Anolis sagrei: one gene and its partner. The protein of the gene in region 1 interacts with the protein of each later gene in a pairwise test. Links are inferred from orthologs where the notes say so. Each region holds a gene or a part of one and is shown on either strand. Other genes may lie near its edges.

What was found.
Region 2: the proteins of TRIP6 (region 1) and RAD23A interact in binary tests that used the Homo sapiens proteins (3 or more experiments, as listed by UniProt). The two-hybrid records come from large-scale screens. The link is inferred for Anolis sagrei from reciprocal best matches to the Homo sapiens genes TRIP6 and RAD23A.

What each region holds. Positions count from the first base shown.
Region 1 is NC_090026.1:4,965,841-4,973,600, reverse strand, and holds the start of TRIP6 (thyroid receptor-interacting protein 6), read right to left. Parts: upstream 3,002-7,760; 5' UTR 2,850-3,001; intron 1-2,849. UniProt on the Homo sapiens protein: Relays signals from the cell surface to the nucleus to weaken adherens junction and promote actin cytoskeleton reorganization and cell invasiveness. Involved in lysophosphatidic acid-induced cell adhesion and migration.
Region 2 is NC_090022.1:162,470,624-162,477,755, reverse strand, and holds the start of RAD23A (UV excision repair protein RAD23 homolog A), read right to left. Parts: upstream 3,020-7,132; 5' UTR 2,856-3,019; coding exon 2,784-2,855; intron 1-2,783. UniProt on the Homo sapiens protein: Multiubiquitin chain receptor involved in modulation of proteasomal degradation. Binds to 'Lys-48'-linked polyubiquitin chains in a length-dependent manner and with a lower affinity to 'Lys-63'-linked polyubiquitin chains.

The DNA.
Region 1 (7,760 bases):
CAACCCATCTGGAGGAGGGCTGACTCAGAAAAAGTCTGGTTTCAGTTCCGCTAAACAAAGAAGCAGAAGCTCTTTGACACACCCTGAAAGCCGCAAAGCTAGCAAATTATATATCTCATCTCTTGTGTTTGTGTGTGTGTGTGGATATATATCCATTTTAGGAGAAACATAGAAAGGAAATGGAGATTTATCCCCTTCTTTTTCTGTCCTTTGCAAAGGCCTTGCAAAACTACAGCTCCCTGGGTTCCATAGTAATTTACCCATAGCGGTTAAAGTGGTACCAAACTGCATTAATTTTATAGTGCAGAGGAGGCATGGGCAAACTTTGGCCCTCCAGGTGTTTTGGATTGCAACTCCCATCATTCCTAACAGCCTCAGGCCCCTTCCTTTTCCCCCTCAGCCGCTTAAGCGGCTGAGGGGGAAAAGGAAGGGGCCTGAGGCTGTTAGGAATGATGGGAGTTGCAATCCAAAACACCTGGAGGGCCAAAGTTTGCCCAGGTCTGGTATAGAGTGATGCACCCCAAGACTTCTGATTCTTTCCCAGGATCAGCTGAGCCTATCCAAAATGCTCAGGGAGCAAATGTGTTTTGGAATATTTGCATAGACATAATAAACAAACCCAGGCCCAAGTCGAGACATGAAATTGCACTGATGTTGCATCCATGCGCCTTCGAGACGTAGCCTGAAGGTAATGTTATCATATATTTGCAAAAATCATTTTGCACAGGTAACAACGTCTGCGTACGTACAATCCTTTCCCAGCCAGCCACCCAGGTGGATCGTTGTGGATTTTGGGAACCCTTTTTTCCAAAATTATGTTTAATCTAATTTTGGATTTCAAATAAAAATGTGTAATAATAATAATAATAATAATAAATAATAATACCTAAATATGCCAATTAATTCATTTTAATTTAAAATAATGCATTATTTTAAATTAAAATGATTTAATTGACATATTTATGTATTAAATATATATATTATATATATATAATGTACATAATAATAATAATTTATTTTAAATTAAAATGATTTAATTGACATATATTTTCTGCATCGCCATTCAATCCACAAAAAATTAAGAAGCAATAAAAATATGTTTAATCTAATTTCGGATTTCAAATAAACAATGTGTATATAATAATAATAATAAATACCTAAATATGTCAATTAATTCGTTTTAATTTAAAATAATGCAATATTTTAAATTAAAATGATTTAATTGACATATATTCTCTGCATCGCCATTCAATCCACAAAGAAATAAAAAGCAATAAAAATATACTTTCAAATATTCAGAGCTGGGAAAAGTTACTTTTTTGGTCTCCAATCAGCAAAAGGGATGCTTGGAAAAGTTACTTTTTAAAAACCACAGTCCCCAAGTCAGCATTCTCCTTAATCAGCATGGGGAAAAAACCCAAAAGGAATCTTTGGAAAAGTTACTTTTTGGGTCTCCAGCCCCCAGGATCTCTTCAGCCAGCAAAAGGGATGCTCATAAAAGTTACTTTTTTAACATCATAGTCCCCCAAGACAGAATTCTCCTTAACCAGCACGGAAAAAAATTAATGGGAATGGTCAGAGCTTGGGAAAGTTACTTTTTTGGTCTCCAGCCCCTAGACATCTTCAGCCAGCAAAGGAGATGCTTGGGAAAGTTACTTGTTTTTAGACCATAGTCCCCCAAGACAGCATTCTCCTTAATCAGCATGGAAAAAATTAATGGGAATGGTCAGAGTTTGGAAAAGTTACTTTTTCCAAGTTTTACTCTCCTCAATCAAGCATGGCTTGGGGAAAATGGGAAGGAACCAGAATGTGGTCACAAATGCTGGAAAAACAAACCTTGGAATAAATAAACCTTGGAAAAGTTACTTTTTTGGGACCCCAAAACCACCAAAACGTAAGAGGAAGGGGAAAAAAAGAAGTTTCCTTATCAGACCTTGCAAAAGTTACTTTTCTGTAGGAAGAATGAAGGAAGAGAGAGGTTTCCTATCAATCCAAGGGTTATTAGAACTTTAGAAAAGTTACTTTTTTCCAAGTTTTTTCCAAGTTACTCTCCTCACTCAAGCATGGCTTGGAGGAAATGGGAAGAAACCAGAATGTGGTCACTAATGGCTGGAAGAAGTTACTTTCTTGCCTGACACTTCCCACAATCATTCAGAATCAACAGGACTTGGAAAAGTTACTTTTTTGGGATCCCAAAACCACCAAAAAGGAGGAGGAGGGGGGAAAGAAGGAGATTAAAGTTACTTTCTTGCCTGACATTTCCCACAATCATTCAGAATCAACAGGCCTTGGAAAAGTTACTTTTTTGGGATCCCAAAACCACCAAAAAGGGTGGGGAAGAAGGAGATTAAAGTTACTTTCTTGCCTGACACTTCCCACAATCATTCAGAATCAACAGGCCTTGGAAAAGTTACTTTTTTTCGTATCCCAAAACCACCAAAAAGGAGGGGGGGGGGGGGAAAGAAGGAGATTAAAGTTACTTTCTTGCCTGAAACTTCCCACAATCATTCAGAATCAACCAGCCTTGGAAAAGTTACTTTTTGGAGACCCCAACACCACCAAAAAAGTAGGAGAGAGGTGGGATTTCTTATCAGACCTTGCAAAAGTTACTTTTCTATTGGAGGAATGAAGGAAGAAAGAGGTTTCCTAACAGATCAAAGAGATGTCTTATTAGAACTTAAGAAAAGTTACTTTTTGAGGGTCGAAGTCTCCTAGAACCTAGCAATGAGGAAAAAAGTAACTTTTCCACTCTTTTTGGGGGGGGAGAAGTTTCCCCCCATTACACCCTTCGCTCCTAGCCATGCTGTTGGTTGCAAAAAGTAACTTTTCCAAGAGTAGAGCCTTCCTACCTGCTCTCACCTGGGTCCTCCGCTCCTGCTCCTGCTTCCTTTCCAACTTTCCTGTATTTTTATTTTTTTGCAAAAGGCAATGGAGAGAGAGAGGCACAGACCCCGGGGATGACGTCACCGCATTCCAAAGCGTCACGTGGAGCCTGGGAATTCCTGCCACTTCCGGTGGGAGGAGGGTCAAGGGGAGGGGGGAGATTTGGGGAGGAGAAATAGAAGGAAGGAGGAGGAAAAAGAGAGATATTGGGAATGAATGGGAAGGGAATGAATGAACTGGGAGGCAGAACTTTGGAAGGACTTCCTGAGAGTGGAATAGAATGGAGAGTTTGGGACCTACAGCTGGATGGCCATCTGTTGGGAGAGATTGGATTGTGCCTTTAAGAGTCTCCTCCAATTGTATGAATGCATGATTGTGTCACACTTTCTCAAAGACTTCCTGAGAATGGGATAGAGTGGAGAATTTTGAATCTACAGTTGGATGGCCATCTGTTGGGAGGGATTGGATTGTGCCCTTCTATCTGGTTGGACTAGATGACCTTTTAGAGTCTCTTCCAACTCTATGAATGCATGATTCACCCTTTTGGAAGGACTTCCTGAGAGTGGGATAAGCTGGAGTTTTTTAATCTACAGCTGGATGGCCATCTGTTGGGAGGGATTGGATTGTGACCACCTATCTGGTTGGACTGGATGGCCTTTAAGAGTCTTCCAACTCTATGAATGCATGATTCTATCACACTTTTGGAAGGACTTCCTGAGAGTGGGATAAACTGGAGTTTTTGAATCTACAGCTGGATGGCCATCTGTTGGGAGGGATTGGATTGTGCCCTCCTATCTGGTTGGACTAGATGACCTTTTAGAGTCTCTTCCAACTCTATGAATGCATGATTCTATCACACTTTTGGAAAGACTTCCTGAGAGTGGAATAGAATGGAGGGTTTTGGAGCTACAGCTGGATGGCCATCTGTTGGGAGGGATTGTGTTGTGCCTTTAAGAGTCTCTTCCAACTCTATGAATGCATGGTTATGTCACACTTTTGGAAGGACTTCCTGGGAATGGGATAGGCTGGAGAGTTTTGAAGCTACAGCTGGATGGCCATCTGTTGGGAGGGATTGCATTGTGCCTTTAAGAGTCTCTTCCAACTCTATGAATGCATGATTCTATCACACTTTGGAAGGCCTTCCTGAGAGAGGGATAAGCTATAGCTTTTGGAGGTACAACTGGATGTGATATAACCATGAATTCATGGCCATCTGGATGGCCATCTGTTGGGAGGGATTGGATTGTGTCCCCCTATCTGGTTGGACTAGATGACCTTTTAGAGTCTCTTCCAACTTTATGAATGAATGGTTATATCACACTTTTGGAAAGACTTCCAGAGAGTGGAGTAGAATGGAGGGTTTTGGAGATATAGCTGGATGGCCATCTGTTGGGAGGGATTGGATTGTGCCTTTTAGAGTCTCCTCCAATTGTATGAATGCATGATTATGTCACACTTTTGGAAGGATTTCCTGGGAGTGAGATAAGCTGGAGAGTTTTGAAGTTACAGCTGGATGGCCATCTGATGGGAGGGATTGGATTGTGACCTCCTATCTGGTTGGACTGGATGGCCTTTTAGAATCTCTTCCAACTCAGTGAATACATGGTTATGTCACACTTTTGGAAGGATTTCCTGGGAGTGGGATAAACTGGAGAGTTTTGGACCTACAGCTGGATGGCCATCTGTTGGGAGAGATTAGATTGTGCCTTTAAAAGTCTTCTCCAACTGTATGAATGCATGGTTATGTCACACTTTTGGAAGGATTTCCTGAGAGTGGGATAGGCTGTAGCTTTTGGAGGTACAACTGGATGGCCATCTGTTGGGAGGGATTGGATTGTGATCTTATAGTTGGACTGAATAGCCTTTAAGAGCCTCTTCCAACTCTATGAATGTAGTTATATCACACTTTTGGAAGGACTTCCTGAGAGTGGAATAGAATGGAGGGTTTTGAACCTACAGTTGGATGGCCATCTGTTGGGAGGGATCGGATTGTGCCCTTCTATCTGGTTGGACGAGATGACCTTTTAGAGTCTCTTCCAACTCTATGAATGCATGGTTATATCACACTTTTGGAAAGACTTCCAGAGAGTGGAGTAGAATGGAGGGTTTTGGAGATATAGCTGGATGGCCATCTGTTGGGAGGGATTGGATTGTGCCTTTTAGAGTCTCCTCCAATTGTATGAATGCATGATTATGTCACACTTTTGGAAGGATTTCCTGGGAGTGAGATAAGCTGGAGAGTTTTGAAGTTACAGCTGGATGGCCATCTGATGGGAGGGATTATGTTGTGCCTTTAAGAGTCTCTTCCAACTCTATGAATGCATGGTTATGTCACACTTTTGGAAGGGCTTCCTGAGAGTGGGATAGGCTGGAGATGTTTTGAAGCTACAGCTGGATGGCCATCTGTTGGGAGGGATTGCATTGTGCCTTTGAGAGTCTCTTCCAACTCTATGAATGCATGATTCTATCACACTTTTGGAAGGACTTCCTGAGAGTGGGATAAGCTGGAGGTTTTGGAGGTACAGCTGGATGACCATCTGTTGGGAGAGATTGGATTGTGCCCTCCTATCTGGTTGGACTGGATGGCCTTTAAGAGTCTCTTCCAACTCTATGAAGGCATGATTCTATCACACTTTTGGAAGGACTTCCTGGGAATGGGATAGGCTGGATGTTTTGAATCTACTGCTAGATGGCCATCTGTTGGGAGGGATTGGATTGTGACCTATCTGGTTGGACCGGATGGCTTTTAAGAGTCTCTTCCAACTCTGAATGCATGGTTATATCACACTTTTGAAAGGACTTCCTGAGAGTGGAATAGAATGGAGGGTTTTGAAGTTACAGCTGGATGGCCATCTGTTGGGAGGGATTGGATTGTGCCTTTAAGAGCCTCTTCCAACCCTATGAATGCATGATTATGTCACACTTTTGGAAAGATTTCCTGAGAATGGGATAAGCTGGATGTTTTAGAGCTACAGCTGGATGGCCATCTGTTGGGAGGGATTGGATTATGCCTTCCTATCTGGTTGGACTGCATGGCCTTTAGGAGTCTCTTACAGCTCTATAAATGCATGATTCTCTCACACTTTGGAAGGACTTCCTGGGAATGGAATAGCCTGGATGTTTTGAATCTACAGCTAGATGGCCATCTGTTGGGAGGGATTGGATTGTGACTTTAAGAGTCTCTTCCAGCTCTATGAATGCATGATTCTATCACACTTTTGGAAGGACTTCCCGAGTGGAATAGAATGGAGGGTTTTGAAGCTACAGCTGGATGGCCATCTGTTGGGAGAGATTGGATTGTGCCCTCCTATCTGGTTGGACTGGATGGCCTTTAAGAGTCTCTTCCAACTCTGTGAATGCATGATTCCATCCCATTTTTTGGAAAGACTTCCTGAGAGTGGGATAGGCTAGAAGTCTTGAATGGATGGCCATCTGTTGGGAAGGATTGGATTGTGACTTTAAGAGTCTCTTCCAGCTCTATGAATGCATGATTCTATCACACTTTTGGAAGGACTTCCCGAGTGGAATAGAATGGAGGGTTTTGAAGCTACAGCTGGATGGCCATCTGCTGGGAGGGATTGGATTGTGCCTTCCTATCTGATTGGACTGCGTGGTCTTTAAGAGTCTCTTCCAACTCTATGAATGCATAGTTATATCACACTTTTGGAAGGACTTCCTGAGAGTGGGATAAGCTGGAGGTTTTGAAGTTACAGCTGGATGGCCATCTGTTGGGAGGGATTGGATTGTGCCATCCTACCTGGTTGGACTGGATGGCCTTTTAGAATATCTTCCAACTCTATGAATGCATGGTTATATCACACTTTTAGAAGGACTTCCTGAGAGTGGGATAAGCTGGAGTTTTTGAATCTACAGCTGGATGGCCATCTGTTGGGAGGGATTGGATTGTGCCTTCCTATCCGGTCGGACTCCATTGCCTTTTAGAGTCTTTGAATGAATGATTATATCACAAGCCTGGGCCAACTTGGGACCTCCAGATGTTTTGGACTACACCTCCCACAATTCCTAACCGCCGGTAGGCGGTTAGGAATTGTGGGAGTTGTAGTCCAAAACACCTGGAGGGCCCAAGTTGGCCCAGGCAACTTTAGTGGCAACAAATACCAGCAAAATGACTAACCTCCAGGCTTTCTCTGCTTTGTTTCAGGCAAGTCGGTGCCTGCCTAACAGGGATGGGACGGAGGCCGTATTTTCCCCCAATTCTGGGTCTTCCTCTTTGCTGAAATTCGTATTGACCTGTCCGGACCTGTCCCTGGGATTACCAGCATCGAACTGGATTATATGAGTCTACATTTGCCGTATGACCCTTTTCAATATATGCCAAAACTGCATTAGGAGAAGAATGAGTCTGCGTCTACACCCTTTTGCTTCAGAATGCAAATGAGCTGCACCGATCTGGATTATGTGAGTCTACACTTGCCATATAATCCAGTTCAGTGCATTCTGAAGCTGTGTTGATCCAGTGTGTCATAAAGTTGGGAAAAGTAACTTTTCCTCCCCAAAACTGGACCTACCAAAATACCTTATCCGTCATTATATTTTGCATCGAATTCCAAGAATCTGGGTGGATTCTAGTCCAAAGAAAAAGTAACTTTTCCAAGCTGTAAAAGTTTGGAAGAGCATGTGCAGAGTGCAAAGATTCCTAAGAATTGCTATGCATCTCAGAACCAGTGCTTCCCAAACTTTCGCAGCCAATGGCTCAAATGCTATGGAATCTTGGGAGTTGTAGTTTTGCAAGGACTCCGGTTTTCTTTGCCAAAGAGTGCTGGGGCCTTTGCCAAACTACAACTCCCAGAACTCCATGGTGTTGAGCTACAGTGATTAAAATGGCATCAAATGCTATGGAATCCCAGGAGTTGTAG
Region 2 (7,132 bases), on another chromosome or scaffold:
GAATTCAAAATTATCTCGACAGATTAGAGAGATGGGCCAAAACTAACAAAATGAAGTTCAACAGTGACAAATGCAAGATACTCCACTTAGGCAGAAAAAAAGTTCAAAGATACAGAATGGGGGATGCCTGGCTCGAGAGCAGTATGTGTGAAAAAGATCTTGAAGTCCTTGTGGACAGCAAGTTAAACATGAGCAAACAATGTGATGTGGCGGCAAAAAAAGCCAATGGGATTTTGGCCTGCATCAATAGGAGCATAGTGTCTAGATCTAAGGAAGTAATGCTATCCCTCTATTCTACCTTGGTTAGACCACACCTGGAATATTGTGTCCAATTCTGGGCACCACAATTGAAGAGAGATGTTGACAAGCTGGAATGAGTCCAGAGGAGGATATTAACTTTATTTGTACCCCGCTAACATCTCCCGAAGGACTCGGTTCGGCTTACAAAGGCCAAGGCTCTCAATAAAACAACAGCATAACATGTACAACAATAAAATTCATAAAGCAAACCAATAAACATTAAAAGCAATAGCAATAAAACATTAAAAACAATACATCATAACACATTTAAAACTAGGGCCGGGCCAAATGTAATGACTAAAATTAAAAGTGCTGGACATGACAGGTGAAATGTAAGGATTTTAGGGTAGGTGCGATGTGCAGGCAATCTTAAATCTCTAGTAAAGTGCGTTTGGGACATGATACTGGGAGATTCCTATTCTGGAAAGGCACACTGGAACAGCCAGGTCTTCAAGCTCTTCCGAAAGACTGCCAACATTGGGGCTTGTCTGATGTCCTTGGGGAGAAAGTTCCAGAGTCGGGGGGCCACCACAGAGAAGGCCCTGTCCCTCGTCCCCACCAAACGCACTTGCGACGCAGGTGGGATCGCGAACAGGCCTCTCCAGATGAACGGAGGGATCGTGTGGGTTCATATACGGAGATGCGGTCACGCAGGTAGGCAGGTCCCAAACTGTTTAGGGCTTTGTAGGTGAGCACCTGCACCTTGAATTGGGACCGGAAAATGAATGGCCCCCCGACTCTGGAACTTTCTCCCCAAGGACATCAGACAAGCTCCTGAAATCAGACAAGCTCCTTGGGGAACTTTCTCCCCAAGGACATCAGACGGAGCTCCTTAAACAGGAGGGTTGACCTCTCTCTGTAAGGAGCACCAGTTAACAACCTGGCCGCCGCCCATTGGACCAGTTGGAATTTCCGAGCCGTTTTCAAGGGCAGCCCCACATACAGCGCATTACAGTAGTCCAATCTAGAGGTGACCAAGGCATGGACCACCCCGGCCAGATCAGCCTTGTTGTGTGATTTATGTAATTTTAATGTTTTAAATTGTATTATGATACTATGTATACTGTTTTGTTGGAAACCGCCTTGAGTCACTGATAGGCTGAGAAAGGCGGTATACAAATACGGTAAATAAATAAATAAATACTATGGAGAATATATATTTTTTTGTCTTGTCAGGAGCGACTTGAGAAACTGCAAGTCTCTTCTGGTGTGAGAGAATTGGCCGTCTGCAAGAACGCTGCCCAGGGGACGCCCGGATGTTTTGATGTTTTTATCATCCTTGTGGGAGGTTTCTCTCATGTCCCCGCAATGGGGAGCTGGAGCTGACGGAGTGAGCTCATCCACGCGCTCCCCAGATTTGAACCTGCGACCTGTCAGTCTCCTGCTGGCACAAGGGTTTAACCCATTACGCCACCGGGGGCTCCTATCTATATCAATAAAAATGTAATGTTCGTTTGTGGGATTAACAGAACTCAAAAACCACTGGACGAATTGACACCAAATTTGGACAGAATATGCCTAACAACCCAATGTATGTCCTTCACTCAAAAAAATTGATTTTGTCATTTGGGAATTGTAGTTACGGAGATTTATAGTTCACCTACAATCAAAGAGCATTCTGAACCTCACCAACGATGGAACTGAATCAAACTTGACACACAGTTTTCCCATGACCAACAGAAAATACTGGAAGGGTTTGGTGGGCAGTGTCCTTTGGTTTTGGGGTTGTAGTTCACCTACATCCAGAGATCACTGTGGACTCAAACAATGATGGGTCTGGACCAAACTACATGAATACTCAATATGCCCAAATGTGAACACTGGTGGAGTTTGGGGGAAATAGACCTTGACATTTAGTAGTTATAGTTGCTGGGATATATAGTTCACCTACAATTCTGAACCCCACCAATGATAAAATTGGGCCAAACTTCCCATAGAGAATACCCATGACCAACAGAAAATATTATGTTTCCTGATAATCTTGGGTGACCCCCATCTTGACATTTGGGAGTTGTAGTTGCTGGGATTTATAGTTCACCTACAATCGCAGAGCATTCTGAACCCCACCAATGATAGAATTGGGCCAAACCTCCCCTATGTGGGCCACAGCAACGTGTGGCAAGGGACGGCTAGTGGAGAATATTTTTTTGTCCTGTCAGGAGCGACTTGAGAAACTGCAAGTCGCTTCTGGTGTGGGAGAATTGGCCGTCTGCAAGGACGCTGCCCAGGGGACGCCCGGATGTTTTGATGTTTTATCATCCTTGTGGGAGGCTTCTCTCATGTCCCCGCAATGGGGAGCTGAAGCTGACGGAAGGAGCTCATCCACGCTCTCCCCGGATTCGAACCTGCGACCTGTCGGTCTTCAGTCCTGCTGGGACAAGGGATTAACCCACTGCACCATGGAGAATAAAATCACCCAATGTGAGTTCCGTGGAAGCGGGAGGGCTAATTCGGGAAGGGCGCCAGGCAGGGAGGGAGCTCACCGTCTCTTCGGGCTCCATCCGGATCTTGAAGGTCTGCTGCTGGAGGGTCTTGAGGGTGACGGTCACCGCCATGGCGGCGGGAGCGAAGGCCCAAGAGGCGGCGGCAGCGGCGGCGAAGACGGGCGGTTCCTGCCAACGGACTCAGCGGGGGCCCCCACCACAACATGCAACTTCACGCCGCCGCCATTTTAATCGCCCCTTGGCGCCACTTCCGTTGCCCGCCAGGCCCTCCCCACGTGACGCGGGAAGGACGAATGGGGCAACGCGCGTGGCTCACGACCATAGAGTCGGAGGCTGAGGAGGGAGTCTGACTTCCGGGTGGTGTGCCAGCGGGAGGGGGCGGGGGTTAATCTTCACGGGCCTCCTTTTTCCCGCCACTGCTTTGGAGCCGCTCTTCCAACCATAGGGATTGATCAGGGACTGCAAGCTGCACCTCAGCGCTTTGAGGGGACTCTTCTGAACGCTGTGAAAAAGATCTTGGGAGTCCTCATGAACAACCAGTTAAACATGAGCCCACAATGGGATGCGGTGGCAAAAAAAGCCAATGGATCAATAGGAGCATAGTGTCTAGATCTAGGGAAGTCATGCTCTCCCTCTATTCTGCCTTGGTTAGACCACACCTGGAATATTGTGTCCAATTTTGGAGTCCACAATTGAAGAGAGATGAGGGCGACTAAAATGATCAAGGGTCTGGAGAACAAGCCCTATGAGGAGCGGCTTATGGAGCTGAGCATGTTTAGCCTGAAGAGAAGGTTGAGAGGCAAGATACTCCACTTAGACAGAAAAAACGAAATGCAAAGATACAAAATGGGGGACAATGCCTGGCCCAAGAGCAGTACGTCTGAAAAAGATCTTGGAGTCCTCGAGGAAAACAAGTTAAACATGAGCCAACAATGTGATGTGGCAGCAAAAAAGCCAATGGGATTTTGGCCTGCATCAGTAGGAGCCTAGTGTCTAGATCTAGGGAAGTAATGCTACCCCTCTATTCTGCTTTGCATAGACCACACCTGGAATACTGTGTCCAATTCTGGGCACCACTATTGAAGGGAGAAGTTGACAAGCTGGAATGTGTCCAGAGGAGGGCGACTAAAATGATCAAGGGTCTGGAGAACAAGCTCTATGAGGAGCGGCTTAAGGAGCTGGGCATGTTTAGCCTGAAGAAGAGAAGGATGAGAGGAGATATGATAGCCATGTATAAATATGTGAGAGGAAGCCACAGGGAGGAGGGAGCAAGCTTGTTTTCTGCTTCCCTGGAGACTAGGACGTGGAACAATGATTTCAAACTACAAGAAACATGAGGAAGAACTTCCTGACTGTGAGAGCCGTTCAGCAGTGGAACTCTCTGCCCCAAAGTGTGGTGGAGGCTCCTTTGGAAGCTTTTAAACAGAGTCTGGATGGCCATCTGTCATGGGTGATTTGAATGCAATATTCCTGCTTCTTGGCAGGACGTTGGACTGGATGGCCCATGAGGTCTCTTCCAACTCTTTGATTCTAGGAGACATGGTGAGGGCCATGTATAAATATGTGAGAGGAAGTCATAGGGAGGAGGGAGCAAGCTTGTTTTCTGCTGTCATGAAGACTAGGACGCAGAGCAATGGCTTCAAACTTGAGGGTGACGCAGCATAACTTCCTTTTTTCAAAACTTAATAAAACCCATTGAATGAATCAGAATTTTTATTTTATTTTTTTGTAATGTAAGCGCCTACCTAAAGTTTTGTTTTACATAGTTTTGAAGATCAAATTAGGTAGGTGACGTCCCCCATTCTCCATACACTGAGTAAACCGATTTTTGGCTTTTGTCATGACTCTTGCCAGCATAGCAGGCGTTATGTTGGCAGTTTCTTCCTGGATGTTGGTCTTCAAATCTTGTAGGGTCCTTGGACGGTTCACATAAACACGGGATTTCAAAAAACCCATAGAAAAAAATCACAAGGGGCCAAATCTGGAGAGCGGGCCGGCCACTCCAAATCCGCTCGAAAAGTAGGCCTCAATGGCAAAAGCACGCTCCTCACTGTCCCAACGCATGATGCCGACTGAACTGTGTCAGGACAAAAATTTATACTCCCGCCTCTCGAACAAGACCACATCTTCAACCGACTGAATGGTACGCATTTTAAAAAAGGAAGTTATGCTGCCTCACCCTGTACAAGAAAGGAGATTCCATCTGAATATTAGGAAGAACTTCTTCACCGTGACAGCTGTTCAGCAGTGGAACTCTCTGCCCCGGAGTGTGGTGGTGGCTCCTTGACATCCGCCAGAAAATAGCAGACTGTAACGAAAGGACCAGAGCATTGACATGTCCAGCCCAGTGTGCAATACGAGGGTTGGAACTTTAATAGTGGCAACACTACTGTAAAGACGCCATGCAACGAAACCAAAGAATGTTGCGTATACCACACATTAGTTACATACCTACCTTACCGCTGAGCAAAAATACTCACCATTTCTACATTACGGGCATGTGGAGTGATGTGAAAAACTGAGATTTGTATTAGCTTGCAGTCTAAAGTAACTGTTGACAAGATGTTTTTGAAATAAGAACAACAGAGTTGGATAAAGATTGAATGTGCCAGAGGTTGTACGGTCATATGCGCAAATCCTGTGTTTTGGGCCAGCTCATGAATTGTATGGTGTCGATCACTGTCTACAAGTGCAGCAACAGCATTCACTTCTGCTTTGCTGACACTAGGATGACCTGACCAATGCATGTCTGCCACATTTTGGCATCATTCGTTGAAGGCTTTTACCCACCTTGCCACTGTTCTATAAGGCAATGCAGATTCCCTGCAAGCCTCTTGAAAACCTTGATGACACTGTCGTGCTGTACGACCTCTGGCACATTCAATCTTTATCCATCTCTGTTGTTCTTGTTTAGAAAACATCGTGACGACACTTATTAGACCGTAAACTAATTCGAGGCTCAGTTCTTCGTGTCACTCCGTATGCGCATGATGTAGGAAGGGCGAGTCTTTTTGCTCAGAGTTAAGGTAGGTATGTAACTAACGTGGTTTACGCGACATTCTTTGGTTTTGTTGCATGGCGTCTTTACAGCAGTGTTGCCACTATTAAGGTTCCAACCCTTGTATATCCCACCACATTAAAACAGTGGATGTGGCTCTTAATTAGACATGCCACATTATCATAGGATGTCTATGCCCAACATCGCTAGAAAATTATACTATATTGTACCACCTGACATCTGTTGAGAAGTAGCAGCTGGTATTGAAATGACCAAGGCATCGACATCTTCGGCCCAGCCTCTGTTCAGATATCTGCCAACATAACCAAGTCTTAAACCAAGAAATAGCTTCCTAAGATCTATAGAGATACTTGCAGGCACATCTCAGCAAGTGAGAGTCCAAAAGTGGCAGGTTAAAATCCAGAATCTCAATCAGCTGATACCAGATGAGAAACTCCCCCCTAGGCACAGAAAACTGGGCGACTTGGAAGGTGTTGAGCAGACTGAGCTCTGGCACCACGAGATGCAGAGCCAATCTTAAGAAATGGAGCCACAAAGTGGAGTCCATGACATGTAAATGTGGAGAAGAGCAAAGCACAGACCACTCACTACAATGCAGTCTGAGCCCTGCCACATGCACAGTGGAGGGTCTTTTCACAGCAACACCAGAAGGCACTCAAAGTGGCCAGCTTCTGGTCAAAAGAAATTAAGTATAATGCCAAGTTTTAACTTTGTGGTTTTTCATACATTATAACTGTATTCTCAATTCCTTCTGACATGATAAATAAAATCTTGTCTCAGAACTGCAATGGACAACTATCAAAGACTGCCATATTCTGCAGTTTGAACTCCACTGACCATGTTATACAAGTCTACGTTTAGCTGCATTAAATAATAATAATAATAATAATAATAATACTTCTTACCCGCCTCTCCTTATGGCTCAAGGCAGGTTACAAAACAATTAAAATACACAGCAAAAACACTAAAATGAACCTTCATAAAAATTACACACCAAAACGTATCTACAATTACATACTAAAACACACAAAACAGAGATCAAACAAAGGACACTTAACATTCATGTTTAGATTGAGTAGGCTTGCCAGAAAAAATAGGTCTTTACATGGTTTTTAAATTCTGACAGCTCATTTAGCTGTTAGTTCTTCCGGTGGGTTGTTCCAGTCATGGGCGGCTGACGAAAAGATCCTCTGGGTGGTAGTTGCCAGTTGAGTTCTAGCTGGTTGGAGCAGACGCCCCACAGAAGACCAAAGTGTGTGGGGTGCATTGTATGGGAGAAGGTGATCCTTTATGTAACCTGGACTCAAACCATGTAGGGCTTTAAAGATCAAAACCTTGTACTTTCCCAGAAACTAATTGGCAGCCAGTG